Linked DNA regions of Canis lupus familiaris. The protein of the gene in region 3 interacts with the protein of the main gene of each other region in a biochemical or structural test. Links are inferred from orthologs where the notes say so. Each region holds a gene or a part of one and is shown on either strand. Other genes may lie near its edges.

Region 1 (10,155 bases), on a different chromosome or scaffold from region 3:
ATCATTTTAAAAAATGAAGAACTGCTAAATGAAAAATGGAACCAACATGGAGTCACTAGTGCTAAACCCATGTCAGCAAACCAAGACTTAAAAATCTAAACTAATTGCTGTTTCAGCCCCTCCCAGGAATGTAATTTTAACTGGTCAGTCTAGTGAGGTAACCTTATCAGCACTAGTGGGATAATCTACCTGAAAGACCCCTTCCAACTCCCAAAGAAAGATAATCCAATTTTTCTTGTCCCTGTCCCCTTCTGTCTCTAAAAACCTTCCATTTTTAGGCAGTAGAGCATGCAACTCTTGAATTCAAGCCCCATGTTGGGTGTAGAGGTTAAAAAAAAAAATCCTTCCATTTTGGTTTTGTTTGTTTGTTTGTTTTTGTTTTTGTTTTTGTTTTTTAAATCCTTCCATTTTGTATGCTCTTTAGAGCTCCTTTCTATTTGCTAGATGGGATGCTGCCCAATTCATGAATGATTGAATGAAGCCAATTTAATCTTTAAATTTACTTAGTTGGATTTTGTCTTTTAACACCCAGAAGAATTGAAAGCAGGGTCTCAAAAAGATATTTGTACACCCATGTTCAGAGCAGCATTATTTATAATAGCTAAAATGTAGAAGCAACCCAAAGGTCCAACAGTGGATGAATGGATAAGCAAAACGCTGTGTATATGTACAATGGGATATTCTTCAGCCTCAAAAAAAAAAAAAAAAAGGAAATTCTGATACATGCCGCAATGCATGAATCTTGCAAACATTATACTACATGAAATGAGCTAGTCACAAAAAGACAAATACTATGTGACCCCACTTATATAAGATTCTTAGATAGTCCAAATCTTAGAAAGTGCAAAGACAACTGACAGAGGCTAGGGGGAGGAGGAATGGAGAATTTTTGTTTAATGGGTATAGAGTTTCAGTTTTACAAGATAAAAAGAATTCTAGAGATGGATGTGATGGTTGCACAACATTAGAATGCATTTAATTCCACTAAACCGTACACTTAAAATGGTTCAGATGGTAAATTTTGTTATGCAGATTTTACCATCATTTTAAAAATTGGGGGGGAATGGGAAATGAAACAAAGAATTTCAGACAGCAGGGAAGAAAATATTTCAAAAGTGCTGTATTTCCCCCACCCCTTAAATCACATGAGAAGCAGCTATCTGCTGTACCTAAAATAGCTACTGTTTATAAGTGCTAGTATATGTTATTGCCTTCATACATTACAATCCATCTCACAGAAATGCTGCAAGTCAGGTCTTAAGTAATCTTTCCATGTTTCAGATTTTTATGTTGGTTGAAGCTCAGAGAGGTTAAGGAGCTTGTTTGAAGTTACACAGAAGGCAAAAAGTAGAGACAAATGAATCCAGTTCAGCCTGATTCCAAGTCCTTGTTCCTTTTTGCAGTGTCCAACTTCCTCTCTTTCCCACATTCCTTATGATTTTAGAAACTTCATGTGAGAGACACATTTCCTGTGGACATGAGTAATGTAGACTTCAAATTTTGTCTTGAGCAAGATTCTGACTGAGCTGCCATTACCCTAAGTAGTAAAGATACTCTGAGGGCCTAAATAACTTAAAATGGCACCATCTAGGCAAAATGATAACTGCCTAGAGAGGCACAAGCATTTTAGGTATGATAAAGATTGACGCCATTATCAAGTGTTAGAAATCATCGTTGAAAAAATAAGGTCAAGATAGGGCACTGAGCGAGAAATCTAGATTACATTCAAATTGTTTAATAAATTTGTTTTAAAACATGGGAAGAGAAAAGAACTGAACCCATTTGATCCTAAAAGATTTTTTTCTTTTAAATATTTTTTTTTTTTCTTTTAAATATTTTATTTATTTATTCATGAGAGACAGAGAGAGAGAGAGGCAGAGAGAGAAGCAGGCTCCATGCAGGGAGCTCGACGTGGGACTCGATGTGGGACTCGATCCTGGGTCTCCAGGATCACACCCTGAGCTGAAGGCGGCGCTAAACCGCTGAACCTCCTGGACTACCCCTAAAAGATTTTCAAAAAAGATGTTGGTATGCAGGAACTTTAGGCTTGAGAGTTTGACATTCATCCCTGACAGAATTCCAGAATAAATTATTAACAGAGAGAGCTCTGAGTTGATTACAGATTAGCATAAACCAGTGGTGCTCTGCTACCTGAAAAGAAAAGGTGAACTTTGACTTCTGTAATTCAAGAATGGTGTAAAGCATCTGTGCAATGATTCCCTCTACTTGAAATACCCATATAAGGAGCCCAGAATTGGGACTCCTGGGTGGCTCAGTGGTTGGACATCTATCTGCCTTTGGCTCAGGGTGTGGTCCCAGGGTCCAGGGATCAGGATCGGTCAGCATCGGGCTCCCTGCCTGGAGCCTCCTTCTCCTTCTGCCTGTGTCTCTGCTTCTATGTCTCTCATGAATAAATAAATAAAATCTTTTTAAAAAGAGCCCAGAATTTACTAACAAACTATATGTGCTAGACCTGAAACTGTGTTCCTATGACGTAGGTTTAAGATAATTGTGACATTTAGCTGAGAGAAGACCTTGGGGGAACATAAGGGCTGAATTTCAATACTAGAAGGATATATGAAAGGGGAATTAGGTTTATAGAACACAACTGTGTGCAACCACACACCCAGAATTAGGAGGAAATGGTATTCAACATGGGAAAGCAGAATTCAGCTCACTATGAGGAATTAGGTATGGTAGCATTTCATGTGGGCAGAATTATGGTTTGGAAGTTAGAGATAACATCAGACTTCAGTTCTACCACCTTCTTGCTGAAGGTCATTGGTCACATTACACAACCTGAGTCTTTTCTGTAAAATGGAAATAGTAATTCCCACTTCCAGCATTGTTTAGGATTAAAAAACACTAATCAGGGCCTTAACAGGGGCGCCTGGGTGGCTCAGTCGGTTAGGCGTCTGCCTTCTGCTCAAGTCATGATCCTAGAGTCCTGAGACAGAGATGGCTCGGGGCTTCCTCCTCAGTAAGTTGTCTGCTTCTCCTTCTTCCTCTGCCACTCCCCCTGCTTGTGCATGTGATCTTTCTCTCTTTCTGAAATAAATATATATTTTTAAAGATTTTATTTTTATTTATTCATGAGGGACACACACACACAAAGAGAGAGGCAGAGACATAGGCGGAGGGAGAAGCAGGCTCCAGGCCGGGTCCCAATAAATATATACATTTTTAAATCAAGGCCTTAACAGGATTCCTAGTGCTGAGGTAAGCATTAATAGGAATAGTTAATATTGGGATCCCTGGGTGGCGCAGCGGTTTGGCGCCTGCCTTTGGCCCAGGGCGCGATCCTGGAGACCCGGGATCGAATCCCACGTCGGGCTCCCGGTGCATGGAGCCTGCTTCTCCCTCTGCCTGTGTCTCTGCCTCTCTCTCTCTCTCTCTCTGTGACTATCGTAAATAAATAAAAAAAAAAGGAATAGTTAATATTATTAGAACTAATTTTCTCATCGTTACAGTTATAAAAACAAAATAGGAGACTTTAGGAAGGAGTGAGTAGATGGACTTTTACTCTCCATGGACATTAAACCCAAATGTCTCAGGAAGAATTGTCCTCTTCTCTGTGCTCTCACGGCTCTTTTATTTGGTTGGGTTTCTTATACCACAATTCTCCAGAGCCCTGCACAGTGCCTGACTCAGCAAAACTGTTAACGTAAATACTCTGACGTGGAATACAGTAGACTGGGTTGGCTTTCTTCTTTACCTCTGATTAGGAGGCTATTTGAATATTCAAATAAGAAAGAAAAAAAGTCATGTTCTGGTAGTTCTATTTAGTTCCTGGTCAGATAGAAAAAAAAAGAAGAGTAAAGGAGAGAGAAAGAGAAACACTCACAAATCTGATGTGAAGAAAATGCTAATAACCTCCACTTTCCGTTAGGTAAGGAGATGAACATTTCATTAATGCATTTAATCATTTATTCAACAATTATTGCTTGACAACTGTATGCCAGGGACTATACTGGGCACTGGGTATAGAGTGGTAAACAACACGAGGCAAGATTTCTGCCTTTATGGAGTTTAGGGAACAGCACACACCAACTAAAGACAATAAAGTGGAGGAATGACATGAGACGGAATTTCCAGTATGAATAGGTTTGAGGACAGCGATATAGTTGAAATCAGAACTAAACCATTTGTCTCGAAGAATAACAAGAGGTGGTTTTCACCTCTTTCCATGTTTTGGGAGGTGGCTGGGTGAGGAGTGCTGGTGGGGATGAGCGGGCTCTGCACTAAAGCTCTCCACTTGGCACAGCCAACGAAAAAGGTAAGTTCGAAAAAGGTAAGATGCCACGATGACAACGACCAGGGGAACCTAACCTAGTCTAAGCGTCAGGCAAGCAAGACTCCCAAGGGGAAGTAGGAGCCTTACACAAATTTGAGGCAGAAATTGAGGATTACAGAGATTATTGGAAAGTCAACAAAACTCTGGTGAGACACCTATTCAGATTAAAAACTTTCGAGGATGTGAATTACTGCCCAGAAACGGTTGATTTTTCGGACCAAGCATCATGGGGGTCACTTGCGAAACCAGACGCTCTAATGCTCTAGGCTGCAGCATTCTAAACTACACTCGTTCCAGCGCTTGCAGTTTAAAAACTAAAACTCCCCGAACCCCTCGCCAACTCCGCGTGGTGGCGTAGGACGCGCGCAGCACTTCGGGTCTTGTAGTCTGGGAGGGACTCCGAATCCCATACGGCTGTGCGGAGGGTCGCCGCGCCTGCGCGGTGCGGGCGGCGGGCAGCGCCGAGTGCGAGGCTCTTTTGTTCGGCTGAGGGGAGGGCCGTTGGCTGGGGCCTGCGGTACGCCGCTTCAGTGAGGGGCTCGACTGCGGCCACCGGCTTGTTGCTTTTCTGGGCGCCACTCCCCCGGCCGGCCCGACGCGACGCGCCATTAGCGCGGCACCGATTCCTCTCGGGCTCTTGGGCGCTGCTCTGAGGTGAAGAGCCCGCTAGAGGCGGGGACGCGGGGGGGAGGCGCGCGGCGGCGGCGGCGGCGGCGGCGGCGGCAGCGGCGGGAGCCCTGGGTGAGGGGCCGCGCGGGCTTGCAGCGGAGGGTGGGAACGGGGAGCGCACCCGGTCCCGCGCCCTTCCCGCACGGGGCCCTCCGCCGGCTGCAGGGGGTCGGGCGCCGGGCGCGAAAAGGATGGAGAGGGCGGGGCGGGCGGCGTACTCTGAGCAGGAGATCGAGACGATTCGGGGTGGGCCGAGCCCTGGCGGGTCGCTCCTCGGGGCCTGGGTGGACCGAGACAATGCTACGTAGGTTGGGTGGGCTGCCGGATTGGGGGAAGACACTTGAGTACAGCGAGGAGGGGACAGGCTGGGCAGCCTTGATGTTTGGACACGGCGAGGGGAGGGCTGACGGCTGCGAGACCCTTGGCTTCGAATGCCACCTGAGAATTTGGGGTCCGGCCGGGGCTGCCAGCGGAATTGCCGCTCGCCGGGCTAAGGACAAGTAACTTCGAGGACATCTTCGAGGGGGCTGGGCAGTCCAAGGTGTGCTACTCGGGGAGGAGACCTGTTGGATAAACTGAAGAGGGGGCTAGGAGAGGAAGGGGCAGTTACGTGCCGAGTTGGATCTGGAGAGGGAGGAGCTGAGAGAGTAAGTAGGGCGGAGGCCCCGAGAGTGTTTCTGTGAGGAGTTGAAAGGGGAAAACCGGCCGCCTTTGATTCCTGATGGGTCCTCACACAGTGGGGAGGCTGTAAGAATAATGTGTGAAGAAAGGACAAAAAACCCAGATTTCTTCCCCCTTTCCAGGTTTTCTACTGCCTCAGCTCTTTTGATTCCTTCGGGGAGTTAAAAAAAAAAAAAAAATCCCAAGTGCAGCGCTTGCTTGGATTCACAGTTACATACGTTTTTATCTGGGATCGTCACTGGTCGCAAAAGACAGTGGTATTGTAGAAACGTGTAGATGGGTTCATACTTAAGGAATTAAGTTAGTGAGAGATATGTAAGATGATGTGGGAAATGGGGAGACAAAGAAGAAGAGTTAGTGAGATCGTGAGATTTGTTTCCTAGGCTCTTATGATTTTCTTGCTTTGCTTTGCTTTGCTTTGCTTTGCTTTGTCTTCTTTCTTTCTTTCTTTCTTTCTTTCTTTCTTTCTTTTTAAGCTAGCCTTTCTTTGTTGTTACAAAATTTGAATACGGGAATGAGCAGTACTTCTTCAAAGCTTCAGATGAAGGTTTTTCATGGATGGCCTTATATGCAGACTTGAATTGGTTTAACTCCATTGAGGTGGAGTTTACAAAAAGATCAGTGATACTGGAAAACTCTGGCCAGGGTTAAGATCGCCTCCTCAGTTGTATTAAGAATCGTGTTGGCAGTTTGGAATAGCTCTGAAAAGGTCCAAAGTTTGGAATGGAAACATGAATACAATTGGGAAATTAGTGCCTGTGTTCCTCCCTAGGTGCTTACAGGCATTTATATTGTAAGTGGTATGATTGAGTGGGAAACCCGTTGGAACTTGGAACTGGTCACACCTTAATAAAGCTTTAGCGGGGGTTCAGGATCTTCATTCATTTCCAGTTTTCCCTTTGGTGCTGTTATTCTTCTTTGGCTGCTGTAGCCTAAGTTTTTTCATTAAAGATGTAAATAGTGCGTGTAGCCTGTTGCTTCTAGCTTCGTGATTGAAAGGGACCAAGTAAGGATACCCTAGCCTTCTGCGTTTTTGACTGCGGGATACTGATAATTTTCTAACCAAATATCTGAAAAGAAGCAACCATTGTACTGAAGTGCCTAGGTGGCTCAGTCAGAAGAGCATGTTATTCTTAATCTCTGGGTCCTGAGTTCAAGCCCTATGTTGAGTGTAGAGATTACTTAAAAATAAACTTAAAAAAATAAAGTTAAAAAGCAACCATTATATTCTGTGCCCATTTTAAGGACTAGAAGAATGTTTCTTTTTGAGTTCATGCCATTTAAAAAAGAGAACTGATGCATTTTTGACATTTTCTAGTAGTTTCTCCCTCAGAATCTCATCTTCTTTATGTACTATCTCTGGTGGTATAACAGATACCACCAGATTGTACGTTAGGCTTGATTTTCATTTCATGGGTTATTTCCCCAAAGAGTTTTTGGAACAAAATGCTAATGGCTAGCATATGAACTCACATAAGATGGGGCTATACCTCTTGTTCTTCTAAATGTCTGGCACATGGTAGGTCATTCATATTGTTGAATGAATGGATATGGCTTTTAGATCCTTTCTTAGAATTCCATGTGCTAGCGGAAGGAGTTAATATGCACTTAAATAATTAGTTTTCCTGTCTTTGATCAATGACATTGGGTAGAGTATAACTGTTGTCCTTGTCATGCTTGTCCTAGCCTCAGTTTTTAATATACTCATCTTGGTCTGTAGATTGTGCAAGTAACAATTTTAAATACCTTAGGCAAAGACGAGAGGCTCCAGGTTCTGGGTTTCAATAGCAAGCTATAGTTTGAATATCTTGTTTTAAAAGTATCTTGAGGGACACCTGGGTGGCTCAGGGGTTGAGCGTTTGCCTTTGGCTCGGGGCATGATCCTGGAGTCCCGGGATCGAGTCCCACATCGGGCTCCCTGCATGGAGCCTGCTTCTCCCCCTGCCTGTGTCTCTGCCTCTCTCTCTGTGTCTCTCATGAATAAATAAATAAAATCTTAAAAAAATAAATAAATAAAAGTATCTTGAAAAATCTTTTGGGTTCTATGTATAGGGTTAAATAAATGGTATTTCCAGATAGTGGTGTCTACTGAAAAATTGAATAGACTGTCCAAAGTTAATTGGAGAAGTTACCCAAATATGAACAAAATTCAGATCATGTCGTTATATGAATTGACTAACTTGTATTAATTCATTCCTGCCTTTAGCTTTTATGGTTTACTGACCAAGAAGGGGCTACCTAATTTGTCTGTGAAATTGTGCCTTTCTCTTTAATAATAGCTAACACGTTGAGGGCCTACCCGAACTGTGGTATGAAGGTTAGTGTCAATAATCTGGTTTTGTCTTGTTATCTGTGAATGCTTTGATCTCTGCTTTTAATTCCAACTTAGCCATACTTCTGGCCTAGCTTTCTAATCATTTTTATTTCGTCTTAAACTAAAAGACTTGCTTCAGGTTATCACTGTGTCCTACTAATATTTGTCCATCCCTGTGGCCTCTCAACTGAAAGCTGTGTGTATAGTTTCATCCACATGAGCATACTGAAAGGAGTTAGCCAAGTTTCTGGACACATCTCAGATAAAATTCTCATTTTATTAACACATCAGTATTCTAGTCCTAGGTCCTGAAATTCAGGAGCAGGTATTCCTTTAAAAATGAAACTCCTGCTTACTGGGTATGTGGCATGAGTTCTTGTTTTCTACTCAGTAAAGTTTTCCATCTGGAAAGCATTTGCCTCCCAAACAGCCATGGTTAACAAACAGACTAACAGCAGTTTAGAAGCATGAGTCAGGAAGACTACACATTGAGTATATATCACACATGTCTTCACCTGCCTTTTGATGACTGGTACATAGTTGCTAATGCTTCAGCAAAGGTGTACTGCATATTTACGATTTTGGGCTTGCTGATCAGATTCCTCACTGATCATTCCCTAAAACGCTGACAGCTTTGGACATCTTTTCCCTGATTTTTGGAGTCAGACATCCATCCAACTGCCCATACAAGGTTCTACACATTACACAGGGCTCAGGCCTGCCTTTAATTAAGAGTAAAAATAGAAACAAAATGCTTGAAGAACCGCAAGGAAAAGAGAAATAATACTTGGCTAGGTTGGGTAGACTTCATGGAAGAAGTAGCATTTAAGTTCGGTCTTGAAGGATGGGTAGGATCTTGGCTGCTGGTGTTGGACAGGTGCCCTTCTTAATAATGAACAAAGCCTTGCATGGAGGAAATGTGCAAGATATGTTCAGGTTATAGTTTTAACAGGACTGTAGGTTTTGTGAGGGAGTAGAAGTATGAAATGGTTGGAACCAAAGGGTGTTAGATGTCACGCTGAGGAGTTTGATCTTTGTTTTAAGGAGGAGAGGGATCTTGTAGAAAATTTTTTAGCAGTTACCTACCATTTTCCTATTCAGTCTACTCCGCCCAAACTAGTTTACACACCATCTACCTCAGACGTGCCTCATTGCTTTTGTTCACAACAGTTCCTTGGGCCAAATTGCCCTACTCAATCCACCTTTTCAAATGCTGTTGGAGCCTGGCTTCAATCCCAACTTTTCAAAACCTTTCCTAATCACCCTAGCCATTTATTCTTCTGAGCCTCTGTAGTGCTTTTGTGGTTGCTTATTCTTGCTAATGTTTCTTTTGCTAATTATTATATACTCTTACCATTTATCTTAGTGAAATAAAGTTCAACTTGCATTGTTTTGTATATTTTATATTTCAGTCCTGGCTCTGGGGGCTTTGGGAAATTTTCTTTGCTTCATAAGCCTTAGTTTTCTCATTTATGAAATGGGTCTAATAGAGTTGCCATGAGGATTGAATGCCTTTATATGCATTAAGTTTTAAGTATTCAGTAAATTTTAGTTGTTATCATTATGTTGTTATTACTTACCATTAAGGGATTCTCAAAAGCCTGTGCTGCTTGTGTGGCTGCATATCCCACTGGCCTAAACAAACAGCTCCATTTGCCTGGGTCTGAGAGGGTCCCTCCCTGCAATGTGGAATTGACTCTCTGCTTTTTTCGCCAGAGTGAGTTGGTCACCCTGTATTTTTTTTTTTTTTTTTTTTTACATTTTTTATTTATTTATGATAGTCACACAGAGAGAGAGAGAGAGTCAGAGACACAGGCAGAGGGAGAAGCAGGCTCCATGCACCGGGACCCGATGTGGGATTCGATCCTGGGTCTCCAGGATCCCGCCCTGGGCCAAAGGCAGGCGCCAAACCGCTGCGCCACCCAGGGATCCCTACCCTGTATTTTTTAATAGATAATATTAAACGCTGGAGGAGCTGTAGTTATAAACTTTTATAGTTATGAATGCCTAGGTCTTAAACCTAAGCTGGAGGCAAAAGAGGCAGAAGGAAAATAAGGAATGGAAAAAGGAGCTAGATGAAAGGAGGAGTAACATGGGAAGTGGTATGCATAATAATTATCATCTGGTCCTTACCGGCTCCTCTTTCAGTCTTCGTGATTTCTACCTGGCCACATTTCTGTTCTTCAGATAAGAGCAA
Region 2 (9,673 bases), on a different chromosome or scaffold from region 3:
GAAGAGGGTCTGTGTACACATGTACATCTTTGAATTGACATCAGTTTTTTTGTGAATCTTGAGAAGGAAGAGCTGTAGAAGGAAAAGGACCTGTTTCTCTGGGCCTCATCCCCTACCTCTCAGCAGCCCTGGGTCTCCTTCTTCACTTTTCAGATTAAACTCCCGTCAGTCACGTCTTTCATTCTGGACACAGAAGCTGTGGCATGGGACCGAGAAAAGAAGCAGATCCAGCCATTCCAAGTGCTCACCACCCGCAAACGCAAGGTAGTCTCAGTCTCCCTCCACTACCTGCCGTGGTCACACAGTTTCTCCTCTTCCTCCTAGCCCTGCCCCACCCCAGAAGGACAGAGTGTTCCTCGGGATATGGTTCTTGCTGCCTTACAATGTGGCTGCCACAGCTCCAGCCATTGCATTCTCATCCCAGCATACCAAGTACAAAGGAGGAAAGAGCCTTTCTCCTATCTCTGTTTTTTTATTTTATTTTATTTTATTTTATTTTATTTTATTTTATTTTATTTTATTTTATTTTATTTTATTTTAATTTATTTTATTTTATTATTTTATTAATTCATTCATGAGAGGCAGAGACACAGGCAGAGGGAGAAACAGGCTCCATGCAGGGAGCCCGACATGGGACTCAATCCCGGGTCTCCCAAGATCATGCCCTGGGCTGAAGGCAGCGCTAAACCGCTGAGCCACCAGGGCTGCCCCTGTCTCTGTTTTATTATGAAAGATCTGTGCCAGGATCCCCACCCCCCCCACAACCTGTGCCCCACCAAACTTCTTTACCTTCATTGGCCATTAGCTGCAAGGGAGGTTGGGAGAGCAAATATTTGACAAAGGGATTGAGTTTGTTGGGATTAGCTGAGAGCCATCAGGTTGCAGACCCAGGAGCCAGTAGCATTGTCACTCTCACGGGTGTGTGGACTATTGCCTGGAGAGAAGGGGAGAGTGGTAGTGACAGGTGTCTGCCTGGGGCATGACGGGAGGCAAACCGACCGTGCCCCTGTCATCATTCCCCACCCCTGCTCCCCGTTCTGCCCCAACCCAGGAGGTGGATGCAGCAGAGATCCAGGTGCAGGTGTGTCTATATGCCTTCGACCTCATTTATCTCAATGGAGAGGTGAGTTCTGGCTGCATGTCTGGGGGTAGCCGGGGGGAGGTGGGGGCTGTGTATGAGCTTAGGAGCCGACCTTCTGAGTGGCCACACTGGGCAGTGATTCTCAGGGACCCCGGAGGGTCTCCAGGACACTCTCGGGGAAGTCTGTGAGGTCCTGCCTGCCCTTCCCAGCTCCGCAGCCATATGAGGCAGATTCTCTTCCTGTATGGCAGCCAGAGCAACACATTGCCGCTGTCTGAATGCAGACACACATGTGAGCGTCCAGCTCCATTAAAGCCAGACATTATAGAATCTGTAAAAGTATAAAGTAATGCCCCCTCTTCTCACTTTTTCTAACATAGGCACATTTCATAAATGACATATTATTGGGTTAATGTGTTGGAGTTATTATTTTTAAATGAATTGATAAACGTCAAGATTTCTCAGTTCTAACATAGCAAATGTTAACATGTGATATGATAGCTAATACTACGTCACTACTATGGTAAATATCCAGAGATGTAAGCCACGTACATAGAAGCTCTCTGGAGTGAGTCCTCAGCAGATTTCACGGGTGGGAGGGGGTCCTGAGACTGCAAAGTTTGAGAACTGCTGCTCCAGGGCATGGGTTAAGGATCTGGAGCCAGGCCACCTGCTTTGATATCCCAGCTCTCCCTTCCTGGTTGTGTGGCCGCAGATAAGTGACAGCCTCTCAGAGTCTCAAGTTTCCTTGTCCATGATAAAGAGCTGACAGTAGCACCCGCTGTACTTGTTATGGGGCAGATGAAGCGATGGGACCTGGGCATGAGCACAGTGGCTGGCTACATACGAGTGTTTATCCTCTAGAATGAGTTGCCAACACCGCCATCATCTTAGATAACTAACCTTTAACGATCTGGCAGCTGAATGGCCACCGCTTGCACTTGACTAATGAAATCAGGGTGATTTCTAATGGGCTGTGCCTGCCCATCAGGAGCATGGATGGAAGTGAAAGGGTGTGGTTAATTCAATCAAAGCTAATAAGATCGCAGAGAGTAGATTAACTTCCGGAAGGTGGGTAAGTCTGTTTCATAGTATAAGGCAAGCAGCACTTTCCCACGAATAGATTTGCTCTAACTCGGGGCTCAGTAGAGCAGGGCCTGCAGGCCGAATCTGTCTCGGCCTTTCTCATCTGTAAGGGAGGCTTTATTGGAACGCAGCCGCATGCCCATACACTTCTGCCCTACAGCCCACAGCTGAGCGGTTGTCACAAAGCCCCAGTAGCCCACAGAGCTCAGAGTATTGACTCTGGTTCTTCGTGCAACAAGGTTGCTGACCCCTGGATTAAAGTGGAAAGCATCCTCTCAGAAACACGTTTATCTCCTATCCGTGTGGTCATCGGCGCCTTTCACCTTTATTCAACCCGTGTTGTAAATGGAACTGTAGCCACAATAACGAGTCCATTCCAGCTCCATAAGGACTGTGGCCCTGTCTTATGCACCTGAGGTCACAGGACTGACCGGTCTCCAGCCCCCTAGCTGCCCTTTTTTTTTTTTTTAAGATTTTATTTATTTATTTGAGACAGAAAGAGGGTACAAGCATGGGGAGAAAGAGAAAGCAGGCACTCTGCTGAGCAGGGAGCCCCATGTGGAGCTTGATCCCAGGACCCTGAGCTCATGATCTGAGTCGACACTGAACCAACTAAGCCACCCCGGTGCCCCTCCCCTTGCTGCCTTTGACTTGCCCTTGAAATGGGTCCTCGAAGTTCTCAAAATCCTCGTGTGGGCCTGGTTCATCCCTGTCGGGGGCCTTCCTATCTCGTGGGAGCCCAGGCTTCTCTTTACCTCCACAGTGACACCCTCTCTCTTTTCCTGCCCTATGCAGTCCCTGGTACGTGAGCCTCTTTCCCGACGCCGGCAGCTGCTCCGGGAGAACTTTGTGGAGACGGAGGGCGAGTTTGTGTTCGCCACCTCCCTGGACACCAAGGACACGGACCAAATTGCCGAGTTCTTAGAGCAGTCTGTGAAAGGTATGGGGGCCTGGGGCAAGCTGCCATGTGTACTCCCTCTTGGCTGCCCCGCCCCGAGTGATTTCACTTGAAGCTGCTGGCTCCGGCTGGCTGGCTGTCATGAGCTGGGCTTCACAGAGGTCACTCTTTATGTCTCCCTCAGACTCCTGTGAGGGGCTGATGGTGAAAACTCTGGACGTTGATGCCACCTATGAGATCGCCAAGAGATCCCACAACTGGCTCAAGGTGCCCTTCCCAAATCTGGCCATCTTTCCATCTGGTTCCCAGTCCTCACTCCACCCTGTTTAAGTGTGGGAGCCTTTTCTCGGTCCCTGATGCCTCCCTGTCCAGCCAGCCACAGACCACCCCTCCACAAATCCTTGCTGCTGGACTCACCAAGAATCAGTTAGAACTGCCCCGGCCTGAGTGCCATGGAAGTTAGATGAGGTTTCTATTCTAAGTTCATAGCCCCTCTCTGTTGGGTGGGGCCGATGGGAAGGGAGGGAGTCAGTCAGGACATAAATGAGATGACATTGGGGGCGATGAGCATTGTGGAGAAAGCAAGTCAAGTCAGGGGCCAGTGAGGATCTTGCAGTGCTCTGGTCATCGGGAAAGGCCTTTCCAGAGTTGACTCTTGCGTTGAGGCACAGATGACAGGAGAGAGTCAGGCACATGGAGATCTGGGACAGAGTGTCTAGGAGAAGGGTGGGGGCAACAATTGCAAGGGCCCTGAGGTAGGAATGAAGCTCCGTGTGTGCAGGGAGCAAGGTGATTAGGGTGTGAGTCGAGGTCAGGGTGGAGGGCAGGCCTCGGATGACACAGCCCCTTGGGGGTCGTTAAATACCCTGGGTTTTCCTCTGAGGGTTTTGAGAAACCAATGGAGGTTTGAGACAGGAAGTCCTGTGGTCTGGTTGTCATTTGGCATGAGACATCTGGCTGGCTGAGGATGGTGGATGGTTGGGGAGGGTGCTGGGCAGACTGGGAACCCTTGGGCAGGAGGCTAGCCTGGAGAGGGGCGAGAGGACTGCAGCAGGAGATGAGCCGGAGTGGAGCCAGAAGGATTTCCCCGGTATGTTTGAGGGGCCTGTGGTCTGTCCCCCTGAGACTGTCAGCAGCTGGGAGGGTATGAGCGTTCCTGTCTTAGGACATTTTCCCTGCTACATACCCCAGGCTGAACTCCTGCCTGGCACTTTCTGGAACAAGTGATAAGTGTTTTCCATGTAAAGGAGTAAGTGGAATGTACATCTATCCCAAGGGAAAGGGGGACCCCCAGGGTCTCCATCTGACTTGTCCCCTCAGCCTCGCCAGCTCCTTCCCCTTCGCTCGTCTCTTTCCTATTTGTTCTGGAAGTCTAGGAGCTCCTCCCACATCCCACCTCAGCCTGGTGATGGTCCTCGGTCTCTACAAGAGCGCTCTCCTTTGGCTCACCCCGATGACCCCTGCTCCAGCATCAAGGAGCCTCCAGCAGTGAGGTCTGTCTCAGTGCCCCCTCACCTCTGGCCTTCCCTCCCTAGCTGAAGAAGGACTACCTCGATGGTGTGGGCGACACCCTGGACCTCGTGGTGATTGGCGCCTACCTGGGCCGTGGCAAACGGGCTGGCCGCTATGGGGGCTTCCTACTGGCTGCCTACGACGAGGAGAGTGAGGAGCTCCAGGCCATATGCAAGGTGCTGTGAGGCAGGAGTAGATTCGACTCCACCTTGGGGGGAGGGGTGCCTGAACCAAGAGGCTCTCGTGTTCTTCCTATGAAGGATTAAGTTTTTTTCTAGTTTTTATTTGCTTTTTCTGATCCTATAAGTAACTCTTGCCTTACATAGAAGTATGTGCTATTATAAAAAGATGTAAAGAAGTTGTGCCAGTTAAGAATTGAGTTTTGCTACAGATGATGACATAAAGGGATTTATTTTTCTCTCATATAATGAGAAGTCTGGAGAGGAGCAGGCGGCTCTCTGATGACATTAGGGGCCTAGGCTTCTGTCCCCGCACAGGGGTTTTGTCATGTGCTTCTGACCTCATCTTCATAATGTGGCTGCAGGGCCTCCAGCCATCACAGCCATGCACGCTCCAAACAGCAGGAAAGAGGAAGGCCGCAAGCAGAGGGATGTGCCCCCTACATTAGCCTCAGCCAACGAACAGCTTCTGTGACATGGGTTGGAATTTTGCTCCACGGCCCACCTCCCTCCACAGGGGAGCTTAGGAAATGGAGTGGGTTTTGTTTTTGTTTAAAGCTATGCACATTGGTGATCCAACAAATGTGAGGCTTTTGCCACAGAAACAGAATAAACTGTTACCCATTATTCCAGTGCCCAGAGGTAACCACTCATAAAATTTGAGGGAATGTCTTATTTATACTTTTACAAAGCTGTGATCTTTGTATATAAGGGATTTTTTTCTCCTATAAATAATGTTTTTTTAAGATTTTATTTTTTCATGAGAGACACAGAGAGAGAGGCAGAGACACAGGCAGAGGGAGAAACAGGCTCCATGCAGGGAGCCCGACATGGGACTTGATCCCAGGACCCTGGGATCACGACCTGAGCCAAAGGCAGATGCTCAACCACTGAGCCACCCAGGTGTCCCCTAAATCCCATGTTTTAAATACTGTCAGATACATATAAGTAACATGGTGATAAAAAACGTTAGAGTGTTTGCCCTCATCTTCAGGACTTTTAGAAGCACGAATGTGTTAAACTTAAAAATAAAATAGTCTGTTATTTTACCAGCAAAAATGGGTTTGTTCAGAAATAGCATAGAATTGTATTTTGGGACATACAAGCCTTGGCGAAACCGTAGGCTCCTCCTGCAAAGGAAAATAATGGTATTTTATGGGAAGAAGGAGGAAGTGAGAAGAGTTGTTTTGAATGAAAGTCTTGGGGGAAAAAAGCAGCTCAGAGGGATGAGGGTTTCTCAGGGGCTGAGTTGCTGTGTTGGTCCCGTTCTCAGATCAAAGTCTTGTCTTTCCCCGGGGGGCCCTGTCATGGATGGTTCTTTCCTATTGGTGGATTCTTCTGTTGGAGCCTATCACCGAATGTTGGCTTAGGCTCTGTAAGCGACAATCCCTCCTGTAACCGAAAGTTAGGGGGACCCTCTCTACTGGCCTCTGCCTCTGTTTTAGCGAGGTTGCCCAGAATTTTTCACAGTTGTTTGTGGAAGATGTGCTCTGTTTCCTGAACCAGCTCCCTGTGCTCGTGGCCTGCTGTGTTCTTGAGAGTAAATCAGCACTGCACACGATGCTTAGCCCAGGTGACCCGTGACAGACATGGTCTTAACAATTCGCAGAGATCATAGGGCACCGGTCCGGGGTCATTTTACACTATTTACCCAGAACGGTTTTCTGTGAAACAGCTTCTGCCGGAGAAGATATTTAAGGCTCTCCATTCAGAAAGGGCTTTCCGGTTGATGTTTATATCCGTGGTTTGAAGATATGCATCTTACTACGTTTGCTGGCAGCGAGGTTTTTTTAGGCTTGACGATTTGGGTGGGTGAAGGAAAATCTCTGGCATGTGGAGTTTGGAGAGGACATCCTGTTCCAGAGTAGGTGGGACTCAGGGGAGCCCAAGGGAGCGACACCTGGGCCAGGGGGATGGAGCGGAAAGAGCAAGGGCTTCTACGTCAAGCACAGGGCAGCACGTGGGCCAGGGGATGCCCCTGGGAGAGGTGTTACCCCACCCGGGGTCTGCGCCCAGCAACCCTCCCTCTGCCCAGCCCTTCCTCTGTGGTTTCTGTGGCCAGGGTAGGATGGGGGCCTCTGGTATGCACAAATCTGAGTCCTCAGTGGAAGGAGCAGGGGTCGGGGTGGGGGGGGACGCAAGTGGGGAATACTCAGCCACTGGTTGCACCTCTGACCTGCCCTCCCTGTCCTCCCCGCAGCTCGGAACTGGCTTCAGTGATGAGGAACTGGAGGAGCACTACCAGAGGCTCCAGGTGAGCAGCCTGCCTCTCCACCTCTCGTGGCACACTCTGTGGTGGTGGAGCTGGCTCCAGAGCCCCCCGTGTCCAGAGTTCAAGTCTCAGCTCTGCTGGCTGCTACAGTGCCCAGGACTTGGGTCAGGGAGCCTGCCTCCTGCCTCTGCTGCTGGGGGATGCGTCTCAGGGGAGCACTATCGCAGGGGTCCCTGAGTTGGCCCTGAGTGAATCCCCTAGTAATTGGGAGTGTTGCATGGTCACGGGTATTTGGGGGTACGACTCCCTTCCCTGTGTGCCGGTACTTCTGTCTCTGTGACATTCTTTGGTTCTCTCTCTCTCTCTCTCTCTCCAGGTCTCTGTCTCATTTCTTCCTTTCACCATTGCCCTCATCCCCACCCAAGCTCTTACCTTAAGACATGTCTATGTTGCCATCTATCCCCTTCCCCATTTTCTTCCCTCTCTCCTCCCTCCCTGACGCCCCAACCCCCAGCCTTGACTTTGAGACCTAAGACCCTCTCTCTTCTTCATGTCCACTGCTGTTCCCCGATGCTGTTCTCTGCAGGCCCTGGTGCTGCCCACCCCACGCTCCTATGTCCGGGTCGACGGTGCCGTGGCCCCCGATCACTGGCTGGACCCCAGTGCCGTGTGGGAGGTGAAGTGTGCGGATCTGTCCTTGTCGCCCATCTACCCTGCTGCCCGGGGCCTGGTGAGTAGGCTGGGCAGGGGTAGAGGAAAGGGGAACACCTCAGGCTCCAGGCAGCAGGAGGGACCCAGGGTCGACCTTCCAGATGGGAAATGAGGAGCAGGGGCTCGTGAGGGTGACACCTGTGCTCCGGGCTGATAGTAACTAGGAAAGCTTGAGCTTGCTTTTTATTTGGCTGTCAGATAACAGGGTCAGAGTCTCAATTAAAAAAAAAGAAAAGAAAAAAGAAATTCCCCAGGTACAAAAAGTAAACAAATTGTTTCCTTTAATACCCTAATCTCACATTTGGCTCTTCACTGATTTTTGAAAACACAGTTCCTCTGAGTAACAGTTTAGGACACTTCCTGCTGAGCAGTGATGCGGGCTGTGGCTCGTCTTTCTGAACCATAATTTGTTTTCATGCTACCACATTTTAAAATTCCCTGGGCTGGGATGCCTGGCTGGCTCAGCAGTTTAGCACCTGCCTTAGGCCCAGGGTGTGATCCTGGAGTCCCAAGATCGAGTGCCACATCAGGCTCCCTGCATGGAGCCTGCTTCTCCCTCTGCCTGTGTCTGCCCCCACCCCTCATGAATAAATAAATAAAATCTTAAAAAAATAAAATAAAATTCCCTGGGCTGATCACTCTCACCAGTGGTTCAGCCCTCAACACCAGCCAAAGGGTCAGCAGACGGGGAGGTACACTGCCCCTTGGCCGGTGCTAGGGCAGCTCTCTGCCTTCTCCAGAAGAAATGTGTTTTCTTTGTGATTTCCTACAATCTTTCAAAATCTAGGTAGCATGCACTTTTCTGATTAGAAATGGACTTCCTTTAAAGGCAGAACTCATATATTCATTTTTTTAAAGATTTATTTATTTTAGAGAGAAAAAGAATGAGTATAAAGTGAGAAGGGGCAGAGGGAGAGGGAGAAGCAGACTTGAGTCCTGCACAGGGCTCAGCCTCACAACCCTGAGATCATGGCCTGAACCAAAACCAAGAGTCAGCTACTCAACTGCTGGAGCCACCCAGGCGCCCAGAACTCATATTTTAATTTATTTTTTATTTAAAATTTTTTTAAAATTTTATTTATTCCTGAGGAACACAGAGAGAGGGACAGAGACATAGGCAGAGGGAGAAGCAGACTCCTTGCAGGGAGCCCGATGTGGGACTCGATCCCAGGACCCCAGGATCATGACCTGAGCCAAAGGCAGACGCTCAACCACTGAGCTCCCCAGTACCCCAGGACTCATATTTTTATTTTTTTATTTTTTTATTTTTATTTTATTTTATTTATTTTATTTTTTTTCAGGACTCATATTTTTAAATTGAATTTCTGTCTTGAAATGTCTAAGACTCCACATTAGACAGGGTTCCCTGGAGACAAGTGGCAGGAGCAGCATTTATGGAGCTTCTGTATGAAGCAGGTGCTGTGCTCACAGGCACGGCACTTGAGTGCACCTTTCCATCCTCACAAAGCACTGAGCCTCCCTAGCTGAGGCAGTAGAGCCTGGGAGCTGAGGTCACTCGCCCGGGGTCACGCAGTTTCTGAGTTGGGAGATGGGATTTGAACCCTGCCATCTGGTTCTCAAATCTGCAATCTGCCTCTGCTGTCCTGCTCCTTTGGCCCTGAGAATAGTAACAGAACAACAGCATAGACCACAGCTATGGTACTAGCATTTCTTAAGCACTTATAATGCTCCAGGTATGGTCCTAAGATAGGGCTGTATATCGTATTTTTTGTTTTTTTGTATATCGTATTTAATCTTTATAATCCATTGCTTGGCCCCATTGTATGGGTCAGGAAACTGGAGGGCAGGAGCAGGGAGGAGACCCTGGATGGGGAACTGCTGCCCTGAGTGGCCTGTCGGCTAGACCCCAGGAGGGTCTCCATCATCTCCCCCTCCCCCAGGTGGATGGTGAGAAGGGGATCTCCCTTCGCTTTCCTCGGTTTATCCGGGTCCGTGAAGACAAGAAGCCAGAGGAGGCCACCACCAGTGGCCAG
Region 3 (9,673 bases):
GGGAGGGGAGATGTTGCAGTGGTGGCAGGAGGCTATCAGGCTCTGCGGTCTGTGTGGGCTGGGGGCAGGTGCAGTGAAGGGGCAGGCCCACCAGGGAGGAGAGCCAAGGGAGACCTGGGAGTCAGCTGTGGCTAGGCACCGACCCCCTGACCCCTACTCACTCGCAGATGAAGGTCCCCTGGGGGATGGTCTGCAGGGCGCGGACCCCCCAGCCCATCTTGGCTGTTCGGTAGAGCTGCAGTCGCACTCTGGGGGTGGGGAGGGAGGGTGGTGTTAGGTGGAGGGACCTGGAAAGCCCCCATTTGAGGGGCACAGGGGTGGGGGGGTGAGGGCAGGCTGCAGGAGGGGTCCTCACTTGATGCCGCTCTGCACCACCCGGTTCTTGCAGTTTCTCCAGCAGGAGCAAGCCTGATTACACTCGAAAATCAGTGGGGGCTCAATCTTGTTAAATTCCTGGAGCAGCCGCCCGTCCTGGGGTTGAGGGTGGGGAGAGTAAGTGGTTTCTATCTGGTGCCCACCTCGACTGCCAAGGAACCCCCAGAAAAATCCACCACGGATCCCAACCCACCAGAGAGGGAGGACAGGCTGGGGAGGCCACACATGTGGAGCTCAGACAACAGGAACCCCATCAAGCCCTTAATTTGCATGCAGCTGGCACAGGCCCATCTCCCCCTAGCACCCTCCCCACAACCCCTGCTTTGCCCTGCCCTCTTTTCATGAGGGAGGAAGAGAGGGACAGGCGGCTTGGATGGGGCAAGCACACGCACCTTGTCATACCAGCAGCGGATGCTCAGCTGGCCACAGAGGCAGTTGGAGCTGGAGCAGTCGTCCACACAGGTGCAGTGCTGGCGCAGGAGGCAGGGGGTTAGCCCGATCCTCAGAAGCAGCCCTATCCCCACAGTGCTCCCTGACCCCTAACCACTGTCCTTTCTCTAAGATCACTGCTTTAGAACAGTGGGGGCTGATGGTCCCAGGATGAGGGGGATTCAAAATGCTAATTACAGGGGTACCCAGGGCCAACATGAGCCCGTAGACCTTCATGTGTCCTAAAGAAAGGACCCCTCTCCCAAGTGGATGCAGGCCCACCCCCAAGGTCCCTTCCAGCCCCACTCCCCTGGCCAGGTGGCTCGTTGGCCCACAACTTGCCCAGCTGTGCTTGGCAGCTCACTTGCAAGTGGGTGATGTTACGGTCGATGTTCATGGTGGATGTCTCGCAGTTCTCTGAGATGTACTTGTAGTCCTCAGGGCAGGGTTCCCCGTCCACACCGTTGACACAGGGGATGGGCACGTTCTCATAGCCCCGAGCCACATCCCTGACACAAGGGGAATGGGGGCTGGGGTGAGGGGGTCCACAAGGTGCAAGGAGAGGCCTGAGAGGTCCCTGGGGCCGTGGGAGGAAGGGGGTGGTTCTGGGGGCTCACCGGGGTGGGGGGAGTAAGGTGGTCAAATAAACTAGAGGACAGCCCACGAAAACTGGATTTCAGATAAATAGTTTTTTTTTTTTTTTTTTTTTTACCATAGATAAGTCCCCAGTGCCATGTGGGATGCTCTTAACACTAAAAAAACATGCACTGGTCATCTGAAATCCTCCTTTAACGCTCTTTTAATTTACTGTATCTGACATCCTAGTTAGGGGTTGGCTCTGGGGATTCAGGGGAGCCTGGGGAGGGGACAGAGGGCTCACCGACAGATAATCTTCTCGGTGCGGATGGCCCGGTTCCCCACTCCAAGCCGAAGCTTGCGATTGAGCTGCAGCGCAAACCACACATCGGAGCGCTCGGGGGTCAGGTCCCACGCTGTGTCCCCCTCCTTGTTCCGCAGCTCCGGGTTCGCCCCACGTGACAGGAACAACCTGGGAGGGGACGGGAAGCCCGTGGGGCCTGGGGCCACGAGCCGAGCCGGCGGCAGGGTGTCAGGGTGCGGGGCAGGCAGGGGCTCACAGCACACAGTCGTGGTAGCTCTCCCGTGCTGCGATGTGCAGGGGCGTGTCCCCATGGTAGTTGACGGCGTGGAGGTCGCAGCGGGCGTTGAGGAGGACCTCAGCGATGGCCGCGCTCCCAGTGAAGGAAGCCCAGTGCAGGCAGATGTTTTCCTCCTGTGTGGGTGGGAGGGGTGAGGGTGGGTCTAAGCCGTGGGCGCCTGAACCCAGTCTCCTCTCTGCTCAGACCCCATCTCCCCTACCCCCACCAGACTCTCACATTGTCCGTGAGCGTGACGTCAGCACCCCGTGTCAGCAGCATGCGGATCACTTCGATGTGCTTGTGCTCTGCGGCCCAGATAATGGGCGTCCAGCCCCCACTGTCCTGTGGGTCGGGAGAGAGGGAGGAGGGTGAGGGGCTGCCGTCCCCTGCCCGGGGCCACCCAGCAGCTGGCCTAGCTTACCCAAGCAGTGCGTGGTCTAGAGCACAGGCCCTAGAGCTGGACTCGGAACAGGGGTCTCTGCTCCACCCCTCATGTGTTACAGGACCCTGGCTAAGTCTCTGAACGTCTCTAGGTCTCAGCTTCTTGATCTACCCCATGTGACTAATAGCGTCTACTGCTCAAAGTTGTGGAGTAATTTTTCTCTTTCCAAAAAGCACATATTTTTTAGGTCTTTCCACTCGAAAGTCCTAGGATATGGTAACCCAATAGCAATAACCACTGCTGAGGACACAGACCACGTCTCTAAAAAACATTTCCTGTTTAAAGGAACCAGAGTCCCTTAGAGAAATGGTAGATCAAGTCTGGGGCAGGAAATGTACTAAGAGGTAAGGATGCTCTTAGAAGTTGCTGGGTGGGACCAAAAGCCACAGGAGCCAGGCTCATGGGGTTCCTCCTGGACAAACCACAGGACAGTTCAAAGACTGAAAAATGACAGTAATGGGCTAAAACAGACCCAACATATGACACACTAAGAGGTAATAAGAAGCATCGCCACACATTCCTAGAGATTAAGGCAGCAACTGATCATTCCAAAAACATAGAAAGAAGCAAACAAGAAAAAAGTGGAAAAAAAAATACAAATGAAGAAAAGGCAAGAAATAGGGACAGACTGGAACAGAGTGATGGAAGTGTTGGAGATCAGCAGGGGCTGACAGGAGGCACAAAGGCCAGGGCTGAGCCAGGGGCCCGGAGGAAATTGGCTGGGCAGCCAGCCAGGCCACTCACCTGGGCGTTGACGTCCACCTGTCCTGTGCTGAGCAGCAGGCTGACCATCTCCAAGTTCCCGATTTTGGCTGCATGGTGGAGGCAGGTGGAGCCATCTTCCTCCTGAGGGAGATGTGGGCAGATGAGTCCCTTGCTGGCACCTCAAACCCTGTTTCTGACCCGAGGTCCCAGCTGGCCCGGTCACCACACCTTGCTGTAGACACAGCCGCCACGCTGCACCATGTAGCGAGCTACCTCCAAGTGGTTGTTCACTACAGCCTCCATTAGCGGGGTCCGCTGCTGCTTGTCTACTGCATTGATGTTGGCTCCAGCCTGTAAGGAGGGGGCATGTGGGCTGGCATCACAGAAGGGCTGGGCAAGAGAGGGGGCGCAAGGGCCTGGTCCACGAGACAGAGGGCCTGGTCCGAGCTGACCTGCAGTAGCACGTGACAGATCTCAACAGAGCCCTTCTGGGCGGCCGCGTGCAGGGGCGTGCGCTTGCTCTGCTGATCGCTCTGGAAGTTGGGGTCCAGGTTGTCCACTGTGGGGAGAGCCCGCCATACCGGAAGAAGGAGGGACAAGTGGTAAGTGACTAAGGGGCAGGTAGGACCTCCTCTAGGAAGGCTATGTGGGGTGGGGGGCCCTCTGGGCAACGCAGTTAACCTCTCTGGGCTTCCACTGGCAGGGCTGGTGTGAGTGGATGTGTATAAACACAGCACCTACGTGTTTGTCGTCACCACTGTCCCCATCATCCTGGGTTATCTGTGAGTATGTCTCCCCCTCCACGCTCCGTGTTTCGGGGCAAGGATGATGACCTTCACTGTTGTACCCCCAGCCCTGGGCCCGGGGTCTGGCATGTATGGTCTGGTGTTCCATCAAGGTCTGCAGAATGAATGAATGAATGAGTGGAATACTCACACAGCATCAGGATCACCTTCTGTAGCTCCCCCTGTTTCACTGACAGGTACAGCTGTCGGGGGTGGAAACGGAGTTTCTTCCGCCTGCCATGGTGAGGGAGAGGGGTAGGTGTCTCAGAAAGGGAACCCACCTTTCAGCCCCAGCCCTCATCGCCATGCCTGAGAGCCACCCCTCATTCACCTCTCTGACTCCTGGATGACCAGGGCCTTCTCCAGGGCCTCGCGGCCTGGACCCGGTGGCAGCCCCACGGCTGAGAGGCAGCCCCCATTGGGAAGGGTCAGGGAGGGCCCTGAGCTGTCGATGGTGTCGGCCAGAGGGTCGCAGGGTGGGCGCCGGGGCTCCCCATGCCCTCGCATCCGGGCACTGTGGGAGAAGGTGCTGATGTGTACCAGCAGTGGTGTTGGGCAGGGAACAGATAGTTGGGAATGGGAAGGCCAGTACCTGGGCTGGGAAGTGTCTGCTCTCCCAGGGGCATCCTGAGCCAGGGGTGGGGGGGCAGGGGCTGCAGTGCCAGCTGGTGGGGTCACCCCATCCCCCCGGGGGATGGTCACCTCCTGGGCCTCAGATGCATCCTCCCCACAGTGGGGACAGAAGACCATGCCATTCAGCTGGGACACACAGGCCTTGTGGAAGCGGTGGGCCACACGGAAGTCAGGGTGGCACTCCAGGAACGTGCCCTGGAAGACAAGGCATTCAGGCTCCGGGAGACCCCTCCCCCATGGGGCACGCAGCCTGTCTGCCCCACTGGTTACTCACCGCTGTACAGAAGTAGCCACAGCCGGGGCAGCAGTGGTGTTTGACCATGCGGGCACGGTGGGTCTCACAGAGCACCATCAGTGCCACGCGGCTTGATGGCCTCATCGTCTCCCGTTTGAGGATGGCAGCATTGCAGCCCGACAGCTGTGGCAGTGTGAACGGGCAGGAAGAGGGTGAGGCTGGGGCCTGGGGCTGGGTCCCCCCCACTGCCGGCACCTCTCCTATCAGCTCACAGGCCCACCTCTCCATCCACACTCTCTGTGGCCATGCACTTGTGCCCAGCTCTCTCGCTGATGCGGTCAATCTTGGGAGCCTCCATGCGGCAGCTGCAGAGGGGCAACTCCTCAAACCCCCGTTCCGTCTCTAGTGAAGACGTGTCATTGGATATCCCTTGGACGGAGGGAAAAGGGCGCTGAGCGAGGCCATCCCCATCACCCATGGGGACCCCTGGTGGGGCCTCTCACCCCCGCCCTGCTTTTCCCTCATGCTCTAGAACCCCTAAAGCCTGGCCATGGAAGGACAGACACCTGGGCTCCAGTGGGATCCTCCTCCTCCTCCCGGTACCCCCCAGCCCAGAGGCTGCCCCCTAGTGGCTCGCCATCCCAGCAATTGGCAATTACCAGCGTGGTTGGGGGAGAGGGTCCCCTCGCTGGGCAGCTCCAGGGACCCCAGAGGGACCTCCATGTACTCACTAGGGCCTGAGGAGCCCACACCATTCACTCCTGACATAGAGACAGAGAGAGTGAGAGCACGAGCTCATAGGTGCCTGGACACGTGGGTACATGCGTGAGTACATGCGTGAGCGTGTGTTTGTGCACGCTCTCTGGGGGCTGGGAGAGGGGCTGGAGGAGCAGACCCAGAAGCTGAGGAGCCTCCTCACCTCGTGGCTCCTTGGCCCGGGGAGGCTCGCGCTTCCGCCGTTTCCTAGACGGCTTTACCCATGGGCTGTCCTTCCGCCACTTCTTCTTGGCTTTGCGCCGGCCACTGGAGCCACTCTGGGATGGAGGAAGAGTTAGAGAGCCTGGGCCCCAGCCCACGACCTCTCCTCCCCTCTGAGGACTCAGACCTCTGGCCCCAATCCCAGCGTCCCCCCTGCTCCACAGGATGCCCGCTGCGAGCCCTTACCCGGTCAGACTGATTGCCTGATTCCTCGTCTTCTTCTTCTTCTTCTTCCTCTTCCTCTTCCTCCTCCTCTTCTTCTTCCTCCTCCTCCTCTTCCTCTTCTTCCTCACTCAGTTGTTCAGCCAAAGCTTCAACCTCAGACTGGGAGAGAGGCAAGGCAGGGCTGGGGAGACAGCAACCTCCAGCCCATAGCCCTCTCTTGCAGGTAACTTGAGAAAGAGACAGGGAGGGACTTATCCAACCCCAAAGACTAAGGCAGTGAAGCTGGAGAAAGAGCTACTACTACTGTCCCAGGATGGCTCCCTGGAGGTGAGCATGGATGGGAAAAGGAAGTGAGCTGAATGTTAGACAGCTGTGAAGAACTCACAACAATGTGTGTGAATCTTGGGAACATATTAAGCAAAAAAAAAAAAAAAGTTCAGAAAACAAGCACATAGTTTAAGTCTTGAAGTTCACATGTAAGCAAAACTACCCATGGCCACTCCAAACACTAGATGGAAACCTAATGATAAACTTTATAACGAGGATGAGGTTGACATCCCATAAATTCTTTTTTAATATTTTATTTATTTATTCATGAGAGACACAGAGAGAGAGGCAGAGACATAGGCAGAAAGAGAAGCAGGCTCCATGCAGGGAGCCCGATGTGGGACTCGATCCTGGGACTCCAGGATCACACCCTGAGCCAAAGGCAGACGCTCAACCGCTGAGCCACCCAGGCGTCCCGACATCCCATAAATTCACTGACCAATCTCAAACATGACTAATAAAAAGACAAGATGTCCTGTGCCTCCCGATATGACACAACAGGAAGTATGCACACCAGCTATCAAATCCTCTCACCATTAAAAAAAATAAAAACCCCAAATCACCCGAAGCCGATCATGCTTCTAGATCTAGTTTACATGAAATATCGGGCAGAGAGGACATTTAGTCCTCACCCAATCAGTGAATTCCTAAACATGAGGAATTCTGTATCACAAGTGACCTGGTTTCTTCAACAGATAAATGGCAAAAAAAACTTTTTCAAAACCAAGGGCATCCATATCCAGAGAGACCTAAGGCAAATGTCAATCAAACGAATATATGGAGCCCATCTGACAAACAGTGGCACCTGGGTGGTTTAGCGGTTGAGCGGCTGCCTTCGGCTCAGGGCATGATCCTGGATCTGGGGATGGAGTCCCGCATGGGGCTCCCTGCATGGAGCCTGCTTCTCCCTCCGCCTGTGTCTCTGCCTCTCTCTCTGTGTCTCTCATAAATATATAAATAAAATCTTAGAAAAGAAAATCTGACAAACAAAAACCTGTTTACGAAACCACCAAGGCATATTATGAACCCTAGTAGCAAGGTGATGGTGTTAGGGAGTCACTGGTAGTCACCGGGAGTCACATTTTTCAGATTGCGAACAGTGAAGCAGTGATATCAAAGCATAGGAAGAGGTCTCACATTTAAAGATACAAATGGAAACATCTCCAGATAAAATGATGTGATGGCTACTTTAAAACAGTCAGGGAGGTGGGCCGGTTGGTGGAGGAAGAGCTGAATCAAGAGCCACTGTGTCCTGAAAATTGTGGGAGCAGGGTGAGGCTCCATGAGGGCTCACCATTTACTCTTTTGTGCATATCTGAAATTTTCCCTGACACGTTAAACAAAGTGCACGTCAGGAAGACCGCATTATGTCACATAGGTAAATACAAACATATGAGATAAAATCAAACTAAGAACAAAAGAATAAACAGACAAACCACAGATAAACAACAAAATGGGGGCAGCCGGGGTAGCTCAGCGATTTAGCGCCACCTTTGGCCCAGGGCATGATCCTGGAGATCTGGGATCGAGTCCACATTGGGCTCCTGCGTGGAGCCTGCTTCTCCCTCTACCTGTGTCTCTGCCTCTCTGTGTGTCTCTCTCACGAATAAATAAATTAAATCTTAAAAACAAAAAAAAAACCCAAAACCAAAATGGGATGCTAAACCCAAAGTCCAGGATGGTGGTTACCACAATGGAGAGGGGCGAGGGGCCGGGCTGGGGTGGAACACACAAAGGGAGGAAGTTACAGAGAGGATGGGAAGGTGAATTAGGGGGTGTCACAAGGTAAAAAGGAAAGAGAGACAAAGGGGGTGGGTGGGTGGGAAAGACTGGAGAGTGAGCCTTGGCAGAGAGGTAGGCTGGCTCCTTCTCACCTTGCTGTCAGAGTCCACACGCTCATCCACAGAGTAGGAGTCGTAGTAGAGGCTGAAGTCATCCCCCACCACTGTCTCCCACTCCTCCAGGGACCCTGGGTCCCCTTTCTCCATGGTCACTTCTCCTGAACCCCGTGCAGAACCCAACTCCTCCGACTAGGAAAAGATCAGAAAAATGGAAGCTGCTGGTACTTCCCTTCCCAACCATTTCCCTTGAGGGCAGGATGCAGCCCCCCCCAGGTGGAGAGGCCTTGTCTTCAGCCTCTCTAGGCTCACCAGGCCACCTCCAGAGTTCAGCTTCCTCCTTTTGGCCACATCTGGAAGGAGAGAGAGAAAGGAATAAGGCTGGTTCTTCGACCCTCCGGACAAGATTTATCAGGTGGCAGGTGGGTGGGGTGTGGGGGTGGCGCTGACCTGAGGTCATCTTCCCCAGCGAGTGCAAGTCATCACTCATGCGGAAATGCTGCACTTCAGGGGGCCGCTTCTCTGGGACAGGAGGCTAGTGGCAGAGAGGGAGCACACTTTAGGGTCAGGGAGCATTTGCATTCAGTCAAGGGTGAGCCACACCCTCAAAAATGTCACCTGAAGCTCCAGTAAGCCAGAATGTGGCAATCACAAGAAGTGCTGTCTCTCGAGAAGAAGGGTATGAGGCACATTCCACACCTAACACTCACCTTTTCACTCACCCGAAGGAGCGGGCCCTCTTTACCCATTTTACAGATGAGAAAATAGGTTTGTGCCTTGCCCAAAGCTACCTAAACCATACCCAAACCCCCAAAAACACTGTCACAAAGCTTCTGAAATTCTGGGGCTTTTTGTCCTTTCCCTCACCCTCCTTCCCTGTAGGGAGTCACAGTAAAATCCTTAGAAGCCCTTTGAAAAAGGAAGCAGGGGGAGTTTCAAAGGGAGGGAAAAAGCTCCCTTGGGGCTTGCTTTGAGGTAGAAAGCAAGTTAGAAGTTCCTTAGTCATTATCATAAGAATAATTGGGACAATTAACTACAACAGTAATCCTCTAACCTTTTTTTATTTTTAAAGATTTTACTTATTTATTCCTGAGAGACAAAAAGAGGCAGCAACAGAGGCAGAGAAGCAGGCTCCCTGATGTGGGACTAGATCCAGGATCATGACCCGAGCCAGATGCTTAAACCACTGAACCACCCAAGTGCCCCTCTAACCTTTTTTACAACTCCCCTCTCCCCAAGAATATAAACTTGTCTGTCTGTTCAGATCAAGCCCAGCCCAGAATCTGACACACAGTAGCCCCTAGGTAAGTATGGCGAGCCCTGAAGGGATGAGAAAAAGTCTGAAGCTAAACTGTAAAAAAAAAAAAAAAAAAAAAAAAAAAAAGTCCACAAGGGGTACACAGTGGGTTACCTGGGTCTCCCCACCTCCACCCCTCCCCCTCATTCTCACCTGCCCATTTCCTGGTTTGGACATGGTTTTTCTGGCTCGGTGGACCTTGGGCTGCCCCTCTGGGCTGGGTGTGGCTGCAGGGGGTTCAGGCCCCGCTGCTGCCCCCTGGGCTCCCGGCATACTCAGCAGCCGCATAGCCAAACTCTGGACTGAG

What was found.
Region 1: the proteins of EHMT2 (region 3) and CBX1 form a complex in vitro, tested with the Homo sapiens proteins (2 studies listed by BioGRID). The link is inferred for Canis lupus familiaris from reciprocal best matches to the Homo sapiens genes EHMT2 and CBX1.
Region 2: of the proteins of EHMT2 (region 3) and LIG1, one has a biochemical effect on the other in vitro, tested with the Homo sapiens proteins (3 studies listed by BioGRID). The link is inferred for Canis lupus familiaris from reciprocal best matches to the Homo sapiens genes EHMT2 and LIG1.

The regions. Positions count from the first base shown.
Region 1 is NC_049230.1:24,329,400-24,339,554, reverse strand, and holds the start of CBX1 (chromobox protein homolog 1), read left to right. Parts: upstream 1-3,784; 5' UTR 3,785-3,889; intron 3,890-4,720; exon of another isoform or gene 4,721-4,948; intron 4,949-4,961; exon of another isoform or gene 4,962-5,035; intron 5,036-10,155. UniProt on the Homo sapiens protein: Component of heterochromatin. Recognizes and binds histone H3 tails methylated at 'Lys-9', leading to epigenetic repression. Interaction with lamin B receptor (LBR) can contribute to the association of the heterochromatin with the inner nuclear membrane.
Region 2 is NC_049222.1:108,840,724-108,850,396, forward strand, and holds part of LIG1 (DNA ligase 1), read left to right. Parts: intron 1-153; coding exon 154-264; intron 265-1,051; coding exon 1,052-1,123; intron 1,124-2,962; coding exon 2,963-3,107; intron 3,108-3,249; coding exon 3,250-3,332; intron 3,333-4,600; coding exon 4,601-4,753; intron 4,754-6,956; coding exon 6,957-7,010; intron 7,011-7,554; coding exon 7,555-7,698; intron 7,699-9,580; coding exon 9,581-9,673.
Region 3 is NC_049233.1:1,476,899-1,486,571, forward strand, and holds part of EHMT2 (histone-lysine N-methyltransferase EHMT2), read right to left. Parts: coding exon 9,520-9,673; intron 8,605-9,519; coding exon 8,520-8,604; intron 8,423-8,519; coding exon 8,382-8,422; intron 8,262-8,381; coding exon 8,106-8,261; intron 6,064-8,105; coding exon 5,926-6,063; intron 5,796-5,925; coding exon 5,681-5,795; intron 5,523-5,680; coding exon 5,421-5,522; intron 5,191-5,420; coding exon 5,042-5,190; intron 4,945-5,041; coding exon 4,801-4,944; intron 4,722-4,800; coding exon 4,486-4,721; intron 4,408-4,485; coding exon 4,225-4,407; intron 4,128-4,224; coding exon 4,045-4,127; intron 3,668-4,044; coding exon 3,561-3,667; intron 3,460-3,560; coding exon 3,337-3,459; intron 3,250-3,336; coding exon 3,148-3,249; intron 2,304-3,147; coding exon 2,199-2,303; intron 2,096-2,198; coding exon 1,941-2,095; intron 1,853-1,940; coding exon 1,685-1,852; intron 1,314-1,684; coding exon 1,169-1,313; intron 846-1,168; coding exon 768-845; intron 472-767; and 4 more. UniProt on the Homo sapiens protein: Histone methyltransferase that specifically mono- and dimethylates 'Lys-9' of histone H3 (H3K9me1 and H3K9me2, respectively) in euchromatin.